Linked DNA regions of Canis lupus familiaris. The protein of the gene in region 1 interacts with the protein of each later gene in a biochemical or structural test. Links are inferred from orthologs where the notes say so. Each region holds a gene or a part of one and is shown on either strand. Other genes may lie near its edges. The genes, in order: SRPK2, RBM15, PRPF38A and LUC7L.

Region 1 (5,170 bases):
TTTCCCCTCCCCCCAGCCGCTGGCCACCACCTATCTGCTTTCTGTGGATTTGCTAATTCTAGATGTTTCACATAAATGGAATCATGCAATACAAAACAGACCTTTTGTGTCTGGCTTCTTTCCCTTGGCATAATGTTTTGAGGTTTATCCATGTTGTAGCATGTATCATTCTTCTTTTTCTTCTTCACTCTTTTTATGGGCTGAAAAATATTTCATGGTGTGTGTATACTGCAATTTGTCTATTCATGTGTTGATGGATACTTGAGTTGTTTCTAACATTTTGGCTCCTGTGATTATTACTGCCATGTGCATTTGTGCACAAAGATTTGAGTACCTGTTTGCAATGGTTTTGGATATATACCGAGGGGTGGAATTGTTGATAATTCTTTTTTGTTTTTTGAGGAACTGTGAGGCTGTTTTTGACAGTGATTGCGCCATTTTACATTCCCACCAGCAATGTACAAGGATTCCAATATCTCAATATCCTTAACAAGACTTATTTTCCATTGATTTATTTGTTTTTTTTCATTTTTATTATTATTTTTTTATCTATTTGTTTTTAAAGATGTATTTATTTGAAAGGGTGAGAGTGAGTGGGGGAGGGGACAGAGAGTCTCAAGTAGGATCCCCACTGAACGCTGAGCCTGTGGGACTCAACATGGGGCTTGACATCCGGCTTGATCTCAGAACCCATGAGTTCATGATCTAAGCCAAAACCAAGAGTCTGACACTTAACCGCTTAACCAACTGGGTGATCAAGGCAACCTTTATTTTCTATTAAAAAAACATAGTCATCCTAGTAGGTGCAAAGGGGTGTCTCATTGTGGTTTTGCTTTGCATTTGTCTAAGGAAATTGAGCATCTTTCATGTACTTGTTGGCTATTTGTATATCTTTGGAGAAACGTGTATTCAAGTCCTTTACTCGTTTTGAACATAGACCACTTTTTTAAGTAGAAAAGAATAAAAGCTGGCCTTACTATAGAAAAATGATTAAATGTAACATCACGAATAATGAAACAAACTGACATCATTTCCTTTCTGTTGCAACATACTGAGATGGACACAATATCATCCATATAGCGTACTTGCCAAAATTATTTAACTTGACTTTAACAGGGAACAGATGACTACAAACTGAGGAACATCCTGCAGAACAGTGAATTGGATTCCTCAAAAGAAGTCAATGTTATAAAAGAGAGAGAAAAAAAAAAAAAACCCAACAACAACCAGGGATTATTCTAGACTAAAGGAGTGTAAAAAAGACATGGCAATTAAATGTAATGGACGATTCTTGATTGTATCCTGGATAGGAAAAAAGTCAGCTACAAGGGACATTTTGAAAATGTGAATATGGCCTCTGTATTAATATTAAATTTTCTTGGTATGATAATGGAATTCTGATTGCGTAGAATATCCTTGTTCTTGGTACTTATTGACATGTTAAGGGTAAAGAGTAACGATGCAAAAACTTCAATAATTCAGCAAAAACGAAACAAAGGAACTTCCATAGGCACACATACACACAAGGAAAGCAAATGTGATGAAATGTTAAAAATCGGTGCATATGGGTTAATACGGGTGTTCATTATATTTTTCTCGTAACTTCTCTGTAGGGTAGATCTTTTTGAAAATAAAAAGTTGAGAAAGTACTTAACTAGAGAGAACAAACTGATGGTTACCAGAGGGGAAGTGGGTGGGGATGGCTGAAGTAGGTGCCGGGGATTAAAGAGTCCACTCCCTCTGGGTGATTAAAATAAAAACTTAAAAAAAACATGTTGAGAAAGTAAAAGTTCCATCAAGTCTGAGCAGCGCTTTCAGTTCTTTGGTTTTAGCATCTTTAGGATCAGACTAGTTACTTTGGTCAGCTAAGAACACAGTCGTAGAACCAGAGAGAGTCCGCGGTGGGGCGGATATCTTTCCAAGACACTGTAATTACTTAAACAAACAAAGGAAGAGAGTGCAGTTGTCATTCGGACCCACTATCAGCTTGATTCCCATCTTTATCAGGCGGCATGATCCATGGAAAGGCTTTGGAGTCAGCTAGGCCTGAACTTGCACGGTCCCTCCGCAAACTGTTCAACTACTTTGGACGTCGTCGCCTCCTCGCTGTAAGACGTAGGCAACAACTGCTTGGTGCGATTGTTGTGTTAAATCGTCAGACGCTTGGTGTTTGGCGAGCTGGGCTTTAATTCAGGTGCAAAGAACCCAACAAAACAAAACAACGACTTCATCACGCTTTCCATGCCGTTTGCATCTTTTCCCTCATTACGCTCCAAGCCCGCAGTGGGGTTAGGTGAGGCGGAAGGAGGAGAGGACTTCCCCAAGGTCACACGCTCGTGCGGGTCCCAGGTGTCCCCGCTCCCGGCCCTGTGCCCTTTCCACAGCCGCCAGAGGGGAGCGGGCGGCGCTCATGGGGATGCAGGGATGTCGGGGAGCAAAGGGGGCGAAGAGGCCGCGCGAAGAGCGGTGGTGCGAGACCCGCGGGGGCGCCGGCCGAGGAGGGGCGCGCGGGGAGCGCGGAGAGGCGGGGGGCCCGGGCCGCGGTGCGTGGGGCGGAGGCCGGGCGGCCGCGGCCGCGGGGGCGGGGGGCCCCGGACGCGGGGGGCGGGGGGCGGGGGGCGGGGGCCGGGCGGCCGAGGGGCGGGGCCGGGGGCCGGGGCCGGGGCCGGGGCGCGGGGGGCGGAGGCCGGGCCGCAGGCTGCGCGGCCGGGGCAGGTGGGCGGGGGGCGGGGGGCGGGGCGGGGCCGGCGGGGGCGGGGCGGGGCGGGGGGCGGGGCCGGCGGGGCGGGTCTCGGCGGCCCCCCGCGGGGAGCAGCGGCAGCGGCGGCGGCGGCGGCGGCGGCGCAGGCGCGGTGGCCGCCTCCTCCCGGCTGGCGGAGCGAGTGGAGGAGGCTGCAGCCCGGCCCGGCTCGGCTCCCGCGTCGCCGCCGCCGCCGCCGCCGCCGAGCCCCCCGCCCCCGCTCGGCCGCGTCGGGATGAGCTCCCGGAAAGGTGAGTGGCCCGCGGCGAGCCCTCCTCCCCGCCGCGCGGCCCCTCCGGCCGCCGGCCCGACCGTTAATGGGTGTCTTCTCTTTCCCCAGTGCTGGCCATTCAGGCCCGAAAGCGGAGGCCGAAAAGAGAGAAACATCCGAAAAAGTGAGTCCGTGCCCCGCGCCCCCGGGCCCCCGCCCCCCCGCCCCCGCCCGGGCAGGGCAGCCCGCGGCCGCGCAGGGGAAAGTTGCGGGATCCCGGGGTCGGCGGGCTCGTCCCCCCCCCACCCCCCGGGGACGCGGGCGCTCGCCTCTGCGCCCCGGCGGGCGGCCCGGGGGGAGGGGCGGGCGGGCGGGCGGGGGAGGGCGCGTGCGGGCCCGCGGTGCCCGGCCGAGCACCCTGGACCCTCGGACCCCGGACCCGCTCCCGCTCCCCCGGCGGCCGCCCCTCCCTGCGCGCCGCCCGCCGGGGTCGCTGGCGTCCCCGCCCCGCCGCGCCGCGTGCGGGCGTGAGGCTGCTGCTCGGCTCGCACCTGGGCACCGGCGCCCGGGAGCCGTGGGCTCCGCGTCCTCCGCGTCCTCCGCGCGCTCCGCGTGCTCCGCGTGCTCCGTGGGCTCCGCGTCCTCCGCGTGCTCCGTGGGCTCCGCGTGCTCCGTGGGCTCCGCGCGTGTGTGCGCGCGCGTGGGGCCGGCCTCCTCTTCCCCCCCGGCTCCCCGCCTCCCGGCCTCTTTGCGGAAAGCCGGAGCCGGGTGTCCAGCGGCCGGCCCGGGGGTGCCTGGCGCCAGCCCAGCTCCGAGACCTGAGCGCGCCGGCGCCCGCCGGGTCTCCAGTCGAAACTTTGCGCTCGGGCCGAGCCGCGCTGCGCCCCCGCCGCCCCGGGAGCTGGCGGGAGGGGGTCCTGCTGGAGCCGTGCCAGCCCCCGCCCCGCCCCGCCCCGCCCCGCCCCGCCCCCCAGTCCGCGCGGACCCGAGGGGGAGCCTTTCCTGGAGAGCCGCTCGGAGACCGCGCAGCGCCCCCGCCCCTGGCTTTCGGCGTCTTTCGCTCCTGGATGCGTGGCTTCTCCCTTCCTGTGGAGCGAGACACACTCCGTGGCATTGGGGGTCTTGTAGGGAACGGCGGCCCGTGATCATCCTCAGGACCGGGTCTCGGGGGATCGCCCTGCGGCGTTCCTGGGCTTCCCCCTCCTCGGCGCCTTGGTCTCTTGCCTGCAGAATTTCCTGCCCTCCCTGAACACTGCCCTGAGGCCTCACCAGCGCGGTGCTGCTATCATGACAATTTTTCTGTTCACTCGAGATGGGATAGGGCTTGTAAAGCATTTTCAGGGTTTTCCAAAATGGGCATCTCGCTATAGTTAATGCCTTTTCTTGGAAGACAAAAAAAAAAAAAAAAAAGATTATATTAGAGTGACGGAAACATACTTATGAAGGAATTGAGGAACTGGTGGGTAAAAAAAAAAAATCTGATACTGGATTCTTAAAAGGTGAAAACGGGATGGACGCGGTAGTTGGAGATGCTTTACAAAATGACTTGGCCAGCTTTCAAGTCAGGGCCTTAAATTTGGGATTTCCTTTGAATGTCGGAAGATGAAGCCCGCGAGTAAGGAAGAACTGTAACGTTTAGGATCCTGAGTATTGGGTTTTAAAAACAACCTTAAATACAAAGCATTTATTTTCACATATTGCATTATGTTTAGAAATGTAAAAGGGAATTGGAAAAAAAGCGCGTCCTCGGTTTTGGGAATGGCTATGTGTGTGTATACACGTATGTAATGTGTATGTTGTATGTGGGCATGCGTGTAGAAAAGCAGTTTTAGTTAACTAAGTCAACACGTATTTCATATTTTCATGTTTCAGGGAATGACTATCCTAATGGCCAAGAGCCTTTTTTGGTCTGCTGCAGTTTGGATTTATGTGGTATGTTTATAAAGAATTAGCGTATATCCACAATATCCAGTTTTTGCTCTCAGAGATAACTGTACCTATGTGGTAAGATTTGAGGGAAAAGCCCCCCAGGCAGTGGCAGAGTGACTTGAATGGTTTGCAAGGTAATTAACAAGAGACCAGCCCAATTATATAACAGATTAATGGGGTGCCATTTTTTGCTTAATTCTTTGAATTAAGACACTATTTTAAAGGAATGCTTGATATGATTTATTCACATATTCAACAAGTATTTGCGTGCCTTTTCTTGGAGTTGGTGA
Region 2 (5,354 bases), on another chromosome or scaffold:
GATTCCTGATCAAATTTCAGCCACACAAATGATATTTCTGGTACAAGAATTATTTACCTACATACCAATCAAGCCCTTTTTAGATGTATATTATCTTCTTTATATAGTCAGTGGGCTTTTCTCCGAATCCTGACTTTTCAAAATTTTGGGTTTGTAACTCTGAGGATTTTTTTTAAGCTCAAGGTTAAGGGGGGGGAAAAAAAACACAACAAGAAAAAGAAGGGGAAAAGAAGTTACTAAGAGTAGGAACTCCTAATTAAAATAAATCCATCTGCCTGCTACCTTCAGGGCATCCCTTTCACTTAATAGCTAAACTGTCCTGTCTTCTATTTCAAAGGTTTATAAAAATATAAAAAAAAGAAAAAAAGCTTCAACTAAACAAACTAACTCAAAAGAAAATTTCATCTGATGCTGTATCCCATTACACATCACAAAACAGGAACCATGTCAAAGTAGTAAATACAAGTTATACATGGACTTTAGGACGCACCACGGACAATGATCATGACCAGGTAATCTTCTTCAGATTTGGCCAGTGCCTTGGCAGGGGAATCCAGGAACTGCTGGGAGAACTCACAGGGTGGGAAAGCATGTAGGACCCCGGTGTTTTCCTTGTCTTTGTTGCCCCCCACGGGAAGGCTTATCACCCCAGCGGCCTGCTTTTGCTTTAAATAGGACACAAGGTTCCTAAGTGGCCTCTGAGTAGAGGTGGCAGTGTCTGATGTGGCTGAGGAAGAGGAGGACCTGCTGTCAGAACTTCCAGGCACAGCCAGGAGAATGGCATAACCATTGGGACCTGCCACTTTGATGCGTCGAGTTACTTCATCCAACTTGGGCTGGTCCAAACGAAGACGCTGAGTGATCTTGAGCTGGGCTACTTTGCCTCCAGTTGAGCCCTCCACAAGAAGACTACTAGCCACTTGGAGGTCACCCTGCAACAGATGCATGTTGGAAGGAAAGTTGCTGTTCTTCAATAGAAGCATGCCCTGCCAGGCCAAACAGAGCTTGGGAGAGGCTGCAGTGGTGGGGGCTGTCCCACCATCCTGTTTCTGGGAAGGGGACTTCAGCTTTGAGGAAGCAGTGCTGGTGCTAGGCGCACTCCCATCAGACCGGTCTTCTTTTTTCAGAGGGCTTTTTCCCTCAGTGGGAGCAGTTGTCCGGTGCTTTCTATCCCGTTCAGCTGATGCAGAGTTTTTACGGTCTCGCTTGTCACCCTGGCTCTTCTCCAAACTTCCTCGCCTGTCTCTGACTGGAGAGGGCCTTTCCAAGATAAGAAGACGAGAAGATCGATCATTGTCACTGTTGTAGCGATCCCGGCTACTGCTCAATTCCGGGCTGCGGTCGGGAGAAGGAGCACAGTGACGTTTTCGGGGACGGTCACTCTCAGGGGACCTATCCAGGTGCCGGCCCCCACTCTCCTCGGGCGGCCTTCGCTTCCTAGGCTGGTCTCTGCTGCTGGGCAGATCTCGCTCACCTCTGTCCCGGTCCAAGGACCAGCCATCTCGCCTGCGATCCAGGCTATCCAGGGGCTCGTAAGCAGGCACAGCAGCAGCTGCAGTCCTAGTGCTGCGTTCACGAACTGGGGGCGGGGGTGGCACCCAGTCAGAGTCAGGATAAAGGTCTCTGTCACGATCTCTGTAGAGTAAGGGTGGTGTCCTATCCCGAGCACCCCTCAAAGGGTCAGGTGCCCGATGTCCAAAAGCATCTGTCACCAACTCGTAATGAGTTAAGGGCAAAGGCTGCAGATACTGCTGCTGGTAACGATGTTCTGTATCTGCAAAGTCTACTCTAAGGCGACGATCTGGGCCACCAAGTGGGAAGCCACGCATATGGGTCCAGGCAGCATGAGCTGCATCCAGGCTTTCATACTGGATATATGCCCAACTATCACCTTTGCGGTAGTCTATAGTGCGGATGGTGCCAAATCGGTCAAACTCTCGTGCCAGGGCAGCAAGAGGCACCCAAGGTCCCAGACCACCTACCCAGAGGCGAGTGGTGGGTGTAGCTTTACCATAACCAATTTTGATAGGATTCCGAATAATGATCTTGCCAGACATTGCTAGTTTGGCCCGGTGAGACATGTCTAGGTTCTCAAATTTAAGGAAGCCATAGGTACTGGTCTGGCCCCGAGAGGGCCTCTTGATATCTACCTCTGTGATGACTCCAAAGCGGTCAAAAGCCCTTCTTAGGTCACTCTCTGTCACAGTGATGTCTAGGTTGCCCAAGAAAAGCGTCCGGTTAGCTCGCTGATCGTCCTCGGGTGAGATCTCATCCACTTCTCGGAAAGGAGCAGCACCTGCTCCAGCTCCCACCCTGGGCTCCAGGCTGTACGCCGGGCGCACTCTCTCATAGAACGGATAGTCTCGCTCTCTCTCCAGCTCACGGGGCAACGGTGGCGGAGGCGGGGGGGGCAGGCGGCCAAGAGCCAGCTGCTGCAACCGGTAGTCTCGGTACCCCAGGGCCGCGCCACCAGGGGAAAGCGATCTCTGGCCGCCGCCTCCAGGGGGGTGCCGGTGTCCGCCCACGGAGGCGCCCACCACGCCAGCCGACGGCGGGTAGGGATCCTTGTCTAAGGGGGAGCGGCTGCGGCGGCGGCTCACGTACACCGCCTCGATCTTCAGCGGCCGGTCATAGAGCACCAGGCGGCCTCTGGCATGCTTGGCCGCCCGCGCGTCCTCTGGCCGCCGGAAGTTCACAAAGGCTACTCGCTCATCCCCGCTGCCAGAGCCCGAGAGATGACTGATTTTGACACTTACATCACCGAAGCGCTTGAACTCGTGAAACAGTCCGTCCTCCACCGCCTCGTCACTCAGCTGGGACCCCAACTCGCTGATCTTCAGCGTCTTGTACTCCGCGCCGTCCCCAACGCCGGGAGCTGAGGAGGCGGCCCCGGAGGAACGTGACTCCCCGCCTCCACCCCGGGAGCTGCTGCGCGACTCGCCCCCGCCCGAGGAATTTTTGGTGCTCGGGGAGCTGTAACTGTGCAGGCGGCCACTGGAGCTGCCCCCGCCGGTGTCATACTCGCGGCTGCCGCCTCGGCTGCTGGACTTGTCCAGGTGGAGGCTGCGCCGCGACCCGCCGCCGCTGTCGGTCTTTCCGCTGCTACTCCCATTGCTGCCACCAGAGCCCCCTAACTTCTTGCTCCGCTCCCCGCGGGAAGTCGAGTCCTCACCACCGCGGGAGCGTTTGGGCTTGACCGGAGAGCGCTCCTTCCCCTTCATTGTTGCGGGTCGCCGGAGGTCGTCTCCGCGGAGATGCTGAGCCCGCCGCCCCGCGCTCGTTTCACACAGCGGAACCGCACGCCGCCATCTTGGACTCCGCCGCGGCAGAGGCTCCCGCCCCGCGGCCCTCATTGGTCAGCTGGCTCCTCTCTGCTACAGGCTCATTGGGAAAACGTCCCGTCCGTCTTCACATCTCCCCGCGCTCCGGAAAGGCGCCCGCCCGCCCGCTGTTATTGGGCTCCCAACGCCCGGGTCCGAGTACCTCATTGGTCGTATTTGTTGTCCATCTTAACGGCTCCTCGCGCCAGGCCGCAGCTCCGCCCCTCGCACTGTAGGGTCACCTGACCCAAACTCGGGAGGCGCTGATTGGGCGAAAAGTCTGCCCTGTAACGGTACTTCTGGCGCGGTAAAAGCGGTGATCCCACCTCCTCATTCCTTTCATTGGTTTCCGACCCCGTCCTTTAACTCACTATTTGGGAAGTCGGGCCATCTGTTCTGGCGCTTTTCCTGAGAGGCCCGCTTACAACATTCTCGCGAGAGACAGAAAGCGCTCCCTTTCTCGACCTCTTCTTCCAACTCCTCGGACGGCTGTAAGAAGTTTAAATCTGATTGGATGCTGACGAGGGAGTTGATAGGCTGAAATAGCTGTCCGTCATCCGCTTAAAGGGGCAGGCCGTACACGGAGGAGGCTGACTGAAGGTGAAAGAGCGGACCGCGCGCTCGCCGTGCGGCGTCACCGGGACGTCGCGAGAGGCTGACACGGCGCTGGCTCCGCCCCCGGCCGCTCGCGGCGTTCCGTCCACGGGCATTTACGGGGCACTTATGGGGTCCCGCGGCGTCCGTGGGTGTGCCTGGGCCGCCCGCTCGGGGCCTGTGCGGGGACCGAGCCCTCGGGGCGCGGTCCCCAGGAGGCCGGCCGCGGCAGCCGGAGAGCGCCGCAGGCCGTGGGGCTCGCCCGGGCCGGCCTCCTGGGCGCTCCCCGCCGCCCGGCGACGTCGGTCGGTTCGCTCTTCCTACGTCGCGCCCCGTCACCGGGCGAGGGCCGACGTCCGCGTGCAGCCGTGGGCGTGCGCCCCGCGGCTCCTCGCGCCGCCTCGCCGACCCCCCGGGGCCCGCCCGTCGTGAGGTGAGTCCGGCAGCCGGAGCAGGTGCTCGGGCGTCGGGGGAGGGGGGGAGGGGGGGCCAGGAAGCCCGGGCCGGCCCTCCCCGCCGCCTACCCGCCTACCCCGAGGCCCTTCTCGGGGGACACGGCTGTTGCCCGAACCCGAGCTTGGGAGCCGCGTCAGGGCCGGGGCTGCAGAGTCCGGCTCTGCCTTCGCCCCCCTTCCCCGCATGACGTCGAGGGAAGCGATAGGGATTTCGCTTCTTGCTCGGATGGAGGAAGCCTGGTGTGAGGACGTCGCGGCAGCGGGCGCACGCTCCCCCGCGTGCCAGGACCAGCTGCCAAAGCCCGCGAGTGGGCCAGGGTGTGGGACGTACTGCCGCGGGGGGTTCTCCACGGGACATGGCGGCGGCGCTGCCTGTGTTTTTGTTGATTTTTCCATAGAAACTTCACGGCGGTACTTAGGGAGTGGCCACTAAGATCGCCCTGAGACGGGGCTGGACGGTCTGGCGGGAGACTCAGCTTGTCATTGCATGTCATTCTAGCATTTCTTCTATTAAAAGGAAACTTGTTTTACCACGTGTATGTTATTACCATCTCGTTTTCTTAAAATAGCAATTATTTTTAGATTCCTTTAAACTACTTTTATAGAAAAAAATAAAAAAGTAGAATACTGGGGGATCCCTGGGTGGCGCAGCGGTTTGGCGCCTGCCTTTGGCCCAGGGCGCGATCCTGGAGACCCGGGATCGAATCCCACGTCGGGCTCCCGGTGCGTGGAGCCTGCTTCTCCCTCTGCCTGTGTCTCTGCCTCTCTCTCTCTCTCTCTCTCTGTGACTATCATAAATAAATAAAAATTAAAAAAAATAGAATACTGGGCCGCCTGGGGGGCTCAGTGGTTGAGCAACTAACTACCCTTCGGCCCAGGGCGTGACCCCGGGGCCCGGGATCGAGTCCCGCGTGGGGCTTCCGGCGTGGAGCCTGCTTCTCCCTCTGCCTGGGTCTCTGCCTCCCTCTCTGTGTCTCTCATGAAT
Region 3 (4,687 bases), on another chromosome or scaffold:
GTGATAGACATGGACACTGGAGATAGACTGCTTACATGTAAATCCAGGCCCTGCTACTCTCCGGTGGTGGACATTGAGCAAGTCACTTAACATTTCTTAGCCTTCATTTTCCTTATCTGAAAACAGCCTCTGTGCAGGAATTTCATGGCTTGTTGTGAAGATTAAATGAGATAATATGACATGCTTAGGAGAATACGTGGCATATAGTCATCCTTTCTTGTATATTGGCTGCTGTTATTATTATTACTATTAATACACACACTTCTAATATTAAATTGTTGATTAGTATTGAGGAGCACCAAACCTTGAACTAACTTATCTCCATTTCAGACTGGGAAGAGCTTGGCCCTAAATTATCTGAGATGCCACTTTGTTTTTGTTTTTGCCTTTGTTTTTTTTTTTTTTTTTAGCTGAACTTGTAGTGGATAAAGCCATGGAGTTGAGGTTTGTGGGCGGTGTCTATGGTGGCAACATAAAGCCAACTCCTTTTCTGTGTTTGACCTTGAAGATGCTTCAAATCCAACCTGAGAAGGATATCATTGTGGAGTTTATAAAAAATGAAGATTTCAAGTGAGTGAAATGTTGACTAGCTAATTTAAAAGCTTCAATTTCAGTGGGCCAGAATTTGGCTTCGGTTAAGAGGAGTGAAAGCAGTGTATCTTGTTTCAACAGAGTTCTACTCTAGGATTTTGGCTCCTGAGGTCTCCAGTGTGTATTTTGTCTGTTCTGATTGTATTGATCTTCTTTACATTCTCAGTCCTGGTAACTGCTCCTCTCCCCCAGAAAGCATTTCACAAATGGACTGAAAATATATTAAGCAGGAGTGAGCACTTAGTGTGTTCATAGCACTGGATGCTCAAAGATGAAGAAAACTACATCATGTGGTAGATAAGCAGGAGAACTTTGGTGTAGGTGGAGGGAGGTTCATGTCCAGGCTCTGTTACTTATTATGACCTTAGAGAAGTTTGTGAGCTTTACTTTCTTTACTTGTAAATGGAGATGATGATACCAGCTCAAGGTTGATAGGAGGGTTAAAGAAGATAGTGCTGTATATCTCACAACACAGTGCCTTTTGGTAAAGACTCCCAAAATGTCAGCTGCTCATATTCTTGTATTACTTATTCTCAAGGAACTCACAGACAAATATAAGAGACAAACATAGTAGCTAATTTTGTACCATCCTCTAAGGGATTTACATATAATCATTTACTTAACCTTCACAACAACCCTGCAAAATTATTATCTCCGTTACACAAGGTAGGAAACTTAGGACAGATTAATTTCCTTGAGGTCAGATACCTAGTAAGTGGTAAAGCTGGCTTCAGTGTTCAAATTCTTTACTATTCTGTTGTGTTTGTCATATAAAGAAACTGTTGAGTTTCAAATGCCTACTCGTTATTCCAAGTGAAGAATTTGAGTGGGTAGTTGGATATAGGAGAAAAGAAAAAGGAATCTTACAAAACAGTAACAGCTAGAAAATAGCTTTCTTACTATGTGCTATATGCTACGCTTAGCACTTTACACACATTTCTTACTAAGCCAACAAATTAGGCACAATCATCTCCATTTTACAAGAATTGAGAAAGCAAGTAACTTGCCTAATATAACAAAGTCAATAAGTAATGGAATCCAAATTGCAACGCAGATGACTTTTTTCCAGAACTAGCACTCTGTGCTGCCTAGCAACAATTATATATATATTCAAGTGTATGTATATTATTTCTTGTACTATTAGTAAACATATTTTATATGTTGTTAAATTCAGTATCTCATTTGATTCTTAGAGTAATCCTTTAAGGTAAATTGGTTCCTATTTTCCTGTCATATATAGACTCTAAATAGACTCTAAATATGATAGACTCTGAAAGTTGAGCAACATGTCCCAAGTTCCTGCAGCCAGTAAGTGGTAGAATGGGAACTTGAACCCAGGTTTCCATATTTTAGCTTTCTTTCTGCTCCATGTTGCCTCAAAATTGCAGTTCTCTCATCGCCAAAGAAGAGAAAGAACTTGTTCATCCACTGCTTTCATGAGAAAAGCCAGGTATGCAACTCAAGAACAAGAACTTTTTAGGATGGCCTACTGTTTGTCTTCTTCTGTCAGGTATGTCCGCATGTTGGGAGCACTTTACATGAGGCTGACAGGCACTGCAATTGATTGCTACAAGTACTTAGAACCTCTGTACAATGACTATCGAAAAATCAAGAGCCAGAACCGAAATGGGGGTGAGTATGGTGCTAAGGGTCTGGACCTTCCTCCCTGAACCAGTTTTTATTTCACCAATATTTCTGCTGCTTTTTTTTTTTTTTTTTAAGATTTTATTTATTTATTCATGAGAGACAGAGAGAGATAGAGAGGCAGAGACACAGGCAGAGGGAGAAGCAAGCTCCATGCAGGGAGCCTGATGTGGGACTCGATCCCGGGACTCAATCCTGGCACTCGATCCTGGCACTCCAGGATTACGCCCTGGGCCGAAGGCAGGCGCTCAGCCACTGAGCCACCCAGGGGTCCCCATATTTCTGCCTTCTTGTTGTAACATTGTGAATGCCCATCATCGTTGTTGTTACGGTCTTCATTTCAGGTTCTTCACCTCCTGCATGGAGTATTCCATTAGACTCCTAGCTTCCTGTTAGTCTTGCCCAATCTGCCCTTGTCTGCCTACTTTTCCAACTACATCTTATATCAGTCTCAGTCTTGCATCATGTACTTTTTCCAATGTACTCCATCCCATCTGATCTGCCTCCAGAATGACCTCGTAAAAGCCTTACTCAGACCTCCCAAAGTTAGTTTTCCATGTGTTACATCATCACGGTTATTATTTTTTTTAATATTCTATTTATTTATTCATAAGAGACACAGAGAGAGAGAGGGGCAGAGACACAGGCAGAGGGAGAAGTAGGCTCCAAGCAGAGAACTCGACATGGGACTCGATCCCGGTCTCCAGGATCACGCCCCGGGCTGATGGTGGCGCTAAACCACTAAGCCACCTGGGCTGCCCTTTTTTTTTTTTTTTTTTTAAGATTTTACTTATTTGAGAGAGAGAGAGAACAGGAGCAGGATGGAGGAGGAGAGGGAGAAGCAGATTTCTCGCTGAACATTGAGCCCAACATAGGGCTCAGTCCCAGGACTTTGGGATCATGACCTGAGCCAAAGGCACACACTTAACTGAGCCACCCCAGTGCCCCATCATCACAGTAATTTTTAGTGGCCTCTTTTTTTTTTTTCCCCAAGACTTTATTCATTGATTCATGAGAGACAGAGAGAGGCAGAGACAGAGGGAGAAGCAGGCTCCATGCAGGGAGCCCGATGCAGGACTCGATCCCGGGACTCCAGGACCATGCCCTGAGCCAAAAGCAGATGCCCAACCGCTGAGCCACCCAGGCGTTCCTTCTTCTCTAGCACTGTACTTCCCACTGCAGTATAAGTTAAGTGTACTCAGACTTACATAGGAATCCCACAGTGGGCAGCTCCATACATTTTACAAAGATATTTTTTGTGGAAAAGGCAGATTCAGGGTAATGCAGTCAAAACCTTTTTCTTCTTAGTGTCTAACTAGAATTTGCTTTTTACCTCTACATGTAACATTAAGAAATAGAAAGCCAAGAATTTGTTATTTTACTTTAAACTTTTATTAACTTATTACCTTGTTTATTGAATACATAATTAAGTGCCAGTATCATGCCAGGTACTGTGCTACATACTGAAAATAACATGGTGAACAAGATGGACATGGTTATGGCCGTCATGGAATTACTTATGTTTATATTATGTTAAAAACTAAGATGGGGTTACTCAACCTATTGACAATTTGATCCAGATGATTCTTTGTTATGCGGAGCTGTCCAGCCCATTGTAGGATGTTTAGCCATATCCCTGGCCTCTATCCACTAGTTGTGGGTGACAAAGTTAACTGCTGCTTGAGAACCACTGAACTAAGGTAATGTTTACTATAACAATTCTAAAAAGCTTTTGCTTTACCATATAAGATACATGCTGTATATTTAGAAATATAGCGGGTTCACATGAGAAATTGTACTTGAGTTATATAATCTATTCAAGAACATCACCGTGGGTGGCTTGGTTGGTTAAGCATCTGCCTTCAGCTCAGGTCATGATCCCAGGGGTCCTGGGAGTAAGCCCCGTGTCAGGTTCCCTGCTCCGTGGGAGCCTGCTCCTCCCTCTCCTCCCTGCTCTTGCTCTCCCTGTCTCTCTTTCTCTCAAAAAAAATAAAAAAATAAAAAAATAAAACTTTTTTATAAATAACATCACTCCTGGGCACTTGGATGGCTCAGTCAATTAAACATCTGCTTTTGGCTCTGGTCATGATCCCAGGATTCTGTAATTGAGTCCTACATCGGGCTCCCTGCTCAGTGGGGAATTTGCTTGTCCCTCTACCTCTCCCCCCTGCTGTACTCTCGCTCTCTTAAATAAAATCTTAAAAAAAAAAAATCACCCCTATACCACTTAGATCTGTTTGTGCATGCTTTTGTGTTGGGTCTCCTGCTAATTGGGACAGCTTCATTCATCTCTTTATCCTCAGCTCCAAGAAGAGGCCTGATACAGATGGCCTCAGTAAAGGTGAGCTGAATGAATGAGGTAAGTGATGACAAGGCTATGAATGACTGTAGTTTGACCCCAGGTCTGATTAGTAATCCCTTCTCTGTAACCACACTGAGTGGTTTTATTAGT
Region 4 (4,687 bases), on another chromosome or scaffold:
GATGGAATTGCAGGTTCTCGGTGCTTCCCTCTCCAGTCCCATACTGTCCCTCCCAGAGGCAGGCATTAGTGTGCGTTCGATTCTGTCTTCATCCTTTACTACACATGTGTGCTTCCCATAAACTCTGTGTGTGCGTGTTGTAGGTTTAAAAGCTTTGTGCTTTTAAAATATCCCACATCAATGCTGCCAACTGTGTATTTTTTTCTCTCTCATTATTCTCAGCACTGTTTGTGAGGTCTCTGCCTGTTGCTCCATACAACTTCCTTCAGTTTATTGCTGTAGGGTTCCGTTTCATGAACATGTGACTGTCCATTGGCAGTTTTCTGGTTTCTTATCTTCAAAGACAGTTCACAGCAAGTATCCTTGCACTTGTTTGTTGGCACACGTATGAGCATGTTCTAGGACATATGCCCAGAAGGGTTCCTGGTAATGGCTTGCACCTGTCTTGCTTTCGCAGCTAATTCAGTTGCATTCTGTTAGTTGCCCCAACATCATTGCCTACCAGCAAGGTATGAGAGTACCTTATTTTTTGACTTTGCCAGTTTAGTGAGTGACATTGTGTCCCATTGTAATCTGCATTTGCCAGGGAAGTTTGAACATATAAACTAATGGAAGATCCCTTTAAGAATCAGTGGCTGTGAGATCCCTGGGTGGCGCAGCGGTTTAGCGCCTGCCTTTGGCCCAGGGCGCGATCCTGGAGACCCGGGATCGAATCCCACGTCGGGCTCCCGGTGCATGGAGCCTGCTTCTCCCTCTGCCTGTGTCTCTGCCTCTCTCTCTCTCACTGTGTGCCTATCATAAATTAAAAAAAAAAAAAAAAGAAAAGAATCAGTGGCTGTGGGGGATCCCTGGGTGGCTCAGAGGTTTAGCACCTGGCCTTTAGCCCAGGTCGTGAACCTGGAGTCCCGGGATTGAGTCCCATGTCAGACTCCCCACAGGAAGCCTGCTTCTCCCTCTGCCTGTGTCTCTGTTTCTCTCTGTGTCTCAGGAATAAATAAATAAAATCTTAAAAAAAAAAAAAAAACCTGATGAGAGTTCATTAGAATGCAGTTGAGTAGAAAATTTGATTATTTAGGGACACCTGTGTGGCTTGGCGGTTGAACACTTGCCTGTGGCTCAGGGCATGATCCCGGAGTTCCGGGATTGAGTTCCGCATCAAGCTTCCTGTGTGGGGCCTGCTTCTCCTTCTGCCTGTGTCTCTGCCTGTTTCTCTTTTTCTGTGTCTCTCATGAACAAATGGATAGAATCTTTAAAAAAAAAAAAATCAGTAGCTGTTGGAATGCATTTCTTAAAACCTGGGTTTTGGTGGAGTGTTTTTTTGTTTGTTTTTGGTTTTGTGTTTTAATTCATGTGTTTTTGTTTTTTAATTCATGAGAGACCGAGAAGTAGGCTCCATGCAGGGAGCCCGATGTAGGACTCGATCTCGGGACCCCAGGACCACGCCCTGAGCCCAAGGCAAGGGCCAAACCTCTGAGCCACCCTGGCATCCCCAAAACCTGGGTTTTGAAGGCATGCTCTGACTTTGGCACCAGCACCAGGAGCCATGTCCTGCTTCGTTTGTTCTTCATTTTATCTGTTCTGACGAGTGGCTGCCAGAGGGGGTGCATTTTGGTCTGCTCTGTTGGACATGTTCTTTATTGAAGAGAGTGTCTAACTTCTTTGTCCATTAGTATTTTAGCTTTTAGGGCAGCATTTCTGGACTTTGGGACGTAGTCTTCGATGAGGAGCTTTTGTATGTTGCTTGTTTGGTTTGGTTTTTGTGTTTGTTTTATGAAGGCCCCCTTTGAAGAGTCTCCCTTCTTGATTCTGTGGTCCTCCTAGCGCTCTCCACTGCACATAACTGAGACCTGCCATTCCTGCTGGCCTCTGAGAACACTGCATCCTGCTTGTCTGAGAGTTTTTGAATGTTCCTTATTGCTTTGAAATCATGATTCTTAGTTCATTTCATAAATAAATGATGGAAATTGAATCAGTTAAAAATATCTAAAGCTTGTAAATGATTCGATTTCTGTTATTTAAAAGTCACCTCTGTAGTCCTTTCCAATATTTCCATTTTGGGGGTTGAATATTTGCTTGCAGTTCTGTGTACCTCACTTTGATTACTCTGTTCTCGTTGTCCAGGAAGAATACAGAAATTCCATGCCTGCATCCAGTTTCCAACAGCAGAAGCTGCGTGTCTGTGAGGTCTGTTCAGCCTACCTTGGGCTCCATGACAATGACCGTCGTCTTGCAGACCACTTCGGGGGCAAGTTACACTTGGGGTTCATTCAGATCCGAGAGAAGCTTGATCAGTTGAGGGTACGTTGATGTATTGTGTTTCTGGAGAAACCCAAGAAGTCTTGTGATTGTCTCCATATTTCTTGACTTTTAGAAAAACTCATGTTTTGATCTTTTCTAAGAATGTGCCTTGAGTTTTAGAGTGAAATATTCAGATTTCATCACTTCATTCACACAAGAGAACTAAGGTCTTAATCCAAAAGGACCTTGGATATTTGTTTAGTCTGTACTTCTTGTGCAGGAAAAAACGCAGAATCCAGTCTTCTGGTATAGAGAGCTTTTGCACAGCTCTGAAATAACTTGTATTTGAAGATGGGAAGAGCCAGTAGTCTCATTTTTATCCTTAGGCAAAGGTGGATGTGTGGTTAGGTTAGACAGAGATGAGGGTTGGGCAGGGGCGGACGTGTGGAGAGTGGTTAGGCTGGACAAAGATCACACTTCTGGCCCTTGCCTTTGAGCCTCCTCGGGAGGTTGAGAATGTGGTGGGGCTTTTAGGATAGTGCTGCTCCACCCCTGCCTACCTTTATTTCTTCCTCAAGGCTCCTTTTTTTCCTGGGTTAGACTGTAAAACTTACCTTGGATACAGAACACTAAGAAGGAAGGGTGAACATATGTTTCAGATAGTTTGGATTACTTTTCAGACTGGTGGAATCTTCCCTGCTGCCTACAGGGACCACTAGGATGTTGCACTGGGAACTGTGCAGCCCTTCCCTCCAGACACATGACATTTGATGGAAAGACAGACACATGGCACATGACTGGGACACTGACAGTCAAGGCAGAGAGCCTTGTGTGCCCCTAGAGGGAGCAGGGGACAGAGCCCTGCACTTGAGGGGTTGCCAGTAGGTGAGGTGTGAGTCTGGCACAGGGACTGGAGTTGGGGGGACAGCCACTGGACTGAAAATCACATTTTGCTCCTGTACTCCCTATAGAATATTGAAAAGTGATACTTTGTTACCTTTTTTTTTTTTTTTTTTAAGATTTTATTTATTTATTCATGATAGAGAAAGGCAGAGACACAAGCAGGCTCCAAGCTGGGAACCTGACGCGGGACTCAATCCCGGGTCTCCAGGATCATGCCCTGGGCCAAAGGCAGGCGCTGAACCACTGAGCCACCCAGGGATCCCTACTTTTTTTTAAATTATTTTTTTGACTGTGTGTGTATGTGTGTGTGTGTGTGTATGAGAGAGAGAGAGAGTAAGAGAGAGAGAGAGAATGCAGAAGGGAAGGGCAGAGGGGGAAAGAATCACAAAAAGAATCCCAGGGAGAGGGAGAAGCAGATTCCCACTGAGCAGGGAGCTTGATGTGGAGCTCGATCTCAGGACCCTGAAATCATGACCTGAGCCGGAGTCAGACACTTAATGGACTGAACCACCGAGCTGCCCCTTCCATTTCTCCTTTAAACTGTATTTCCATTTCATATCACCCCATAATTTTCTCCTGATACTTTTTTATACATGAAAACCTTTTACTTCTTTCTTTCTTTTTTTTTTTTTTTAATTTTTATTTATTTATGATAGTCACACAGAGAGAGAGAGAGAGAGGCAGAGACACAGGCAGAGGGAGAAGCAGGCTCCATGCACCGGGAGCCCGACGTGGGATTCGATCCCGGGTCTCCAGGATCGCGCCCGGGGCCAAAGGCAGGCGCCAAACCGCTGCAACACCCAGGGCTCCCTTTTTTTTTAAATTTATGATAGTCACACACACAGAGAGAGAGAGGCAGAGACACAGGCAGAGGGAGAAGCAGGCTCCATGCACTGGGAGCCCGACGTGGGATTCGATCCCGGGTCTCCAGGATCACACCCTGGGCCAAAGGCAGGCGCCAAACCGCTGCGCCACCCAGGGTTCCCCTTTTACTTCTTTCTTAAGACATACTTCTCCAACAGAGATGAAACTACATTGAAATTTTTCCCCTGAAGCCTTAAAAACTTAAGTTTTTGTTTTTTAAAGATTTTATTTTTAAGTAATCTCTGTATGCAACCTGGGGTTGAAACTTAAACCCTGAGATCGAGAGCAGCTGAGCCCGCCAGGCATCCCCTTAAGGTCTTAAGTATTAACTAGATCTAGAAAGCGTGTTTTGTCATTGCAGTTACAACTTGTTCAAAGTTGACCAGAACAACACAAATATATTAATAGATTTTGATTATAGCTGTTACACTAAGAACAAAAAATGTGTCAGGAAGTGCACCTCTAAACAGTAAGAAGCAGGAGTGTTCTGGGCCCTAATCTGAGATGGCTTCACTTACAGTGGTCCCAGAGGTACTCAAACCTCCAGGCCACATGCCCAGGTAATAGTGAGGCAAGGCCTTTTTTGTTACTGGTGGAAGGACAGTGTCTTGGAAGTAGGGAGGTTTGTAAAGGTCTTAATGCCAGACCATAGCCCTGTGCTTGGTCACATCTTCTTTAGGAA

Evidence for each region.
Region 2: of the proteins of SRPK2 (region 1) and RBM15, one has a biochemical effect on the other in vitro, tested with the Homo sapiens proteins (2 studies listed by BioGRID and IntAct). The link is inferred for Canis lupus familiaris from reciprocal best matches to the Homo sapiens genes SRPK2 and RBM15.
Region 3: of the proteins of SRPK2 (region 1) and PRPF38A, one has a biochemical effect on the other in vitro, tested with the Homo sapiens proteins (2 studies listed by BioGRID and IntAct). The link is inferred for Canis lupus familiaris from reciprocal best matches to the Homo sapiens genes SRPK2 and PRPF38A.
Region 4: of the proteins of SRPK2 (region 1) and LUC7L, one has a biochemical effect on the other in vitro, tested with the Homo sapiens proteins (2 studies listed by BioGRID and IntAct). The link is inferred for Canis lupus familiaris from reciprocal best matches to the Homo sapiens genes SRPK2 and LUC7L.

The regions. Positions count from the first base shown.
Region 1 is NC_049239.1:15,286,306-15,291,475, forward strand, and holds the start of SRPK2 (SRSF protein kinase 2), read left to right. Parts: upstream 1-2,007; 5' UTR 2,008-2,012; coding exon 2,013-2,108; intron 2,109-2,395; exon of another isoform or gene 2,396-2,410; coding exon of another isoform or gene 2,411-2,543; intron 2,544-2,896; exon of another isoform or gene 2,897-2,975; coding exon of another isoform or gene 2,976-2,991; intron 2,992-3,080; coding exon 3,081-3,135; intron 3,136-4,823; coding exon 4,824-4,883; intron 4,884-5,170. UniProt on the Homo sapiens protein: Serine/arginine-rich protein-specific kinase which specifically phosphorylates its substrates at serine residues located in regions rich in arginine/serine dipeptides, known as RS domains and is involved in the phosphorylation of SR splicing factors and the regulation of splicing.
Region 2 is NC_049227.1:42,107,187-42,112,540, forward strand, and holds the start of RBM15 (RNA-binding protein 15), read right to left. Parts: upstream 3,686-5,354; 5' UTR 3,354-3,685; coding exon 491-3,353; intron 1-490. UniProt on the Homo sapiens protein: RNA-binding protein that acts as a key regulator of N6-methyladenosine (m6A) methylation of RNAs, thereby regulating different processes, such as hematopoietic cell homeostasis, alternative splicing of mRNAs and X chromosome inactivation mediated by Xist RNA.
Region 3 is NC_049236.1:9,001,619-9,006,305, reverse strand, and holds part of PRPF38A (pre-mRNA-splicing factor 38A), read left to right. Parts: intron 1-410; coding exon 411-570; intron 571-2,101; coding exon 2,102-2,223; intron 2,224-4,450; exon of another isoform or gene 4,451-4,687. UniProt on the Homo sapiens protein: Involved in pre-mRNA splicing as a component of the spliceosome.
Region 4 is NC_049227.1:40,767,928-40,772,614, forward strand, and holds part of LUC7L (putative RNA-binding protein Luc7-like 1), read left to right. Parts: intron 1-2,121; coding exon 2,122-2,298; intron 2,299-4,687. UniProt on the Homo sapiens protein: May bind to RNA via its Arg/Ser-rich domain.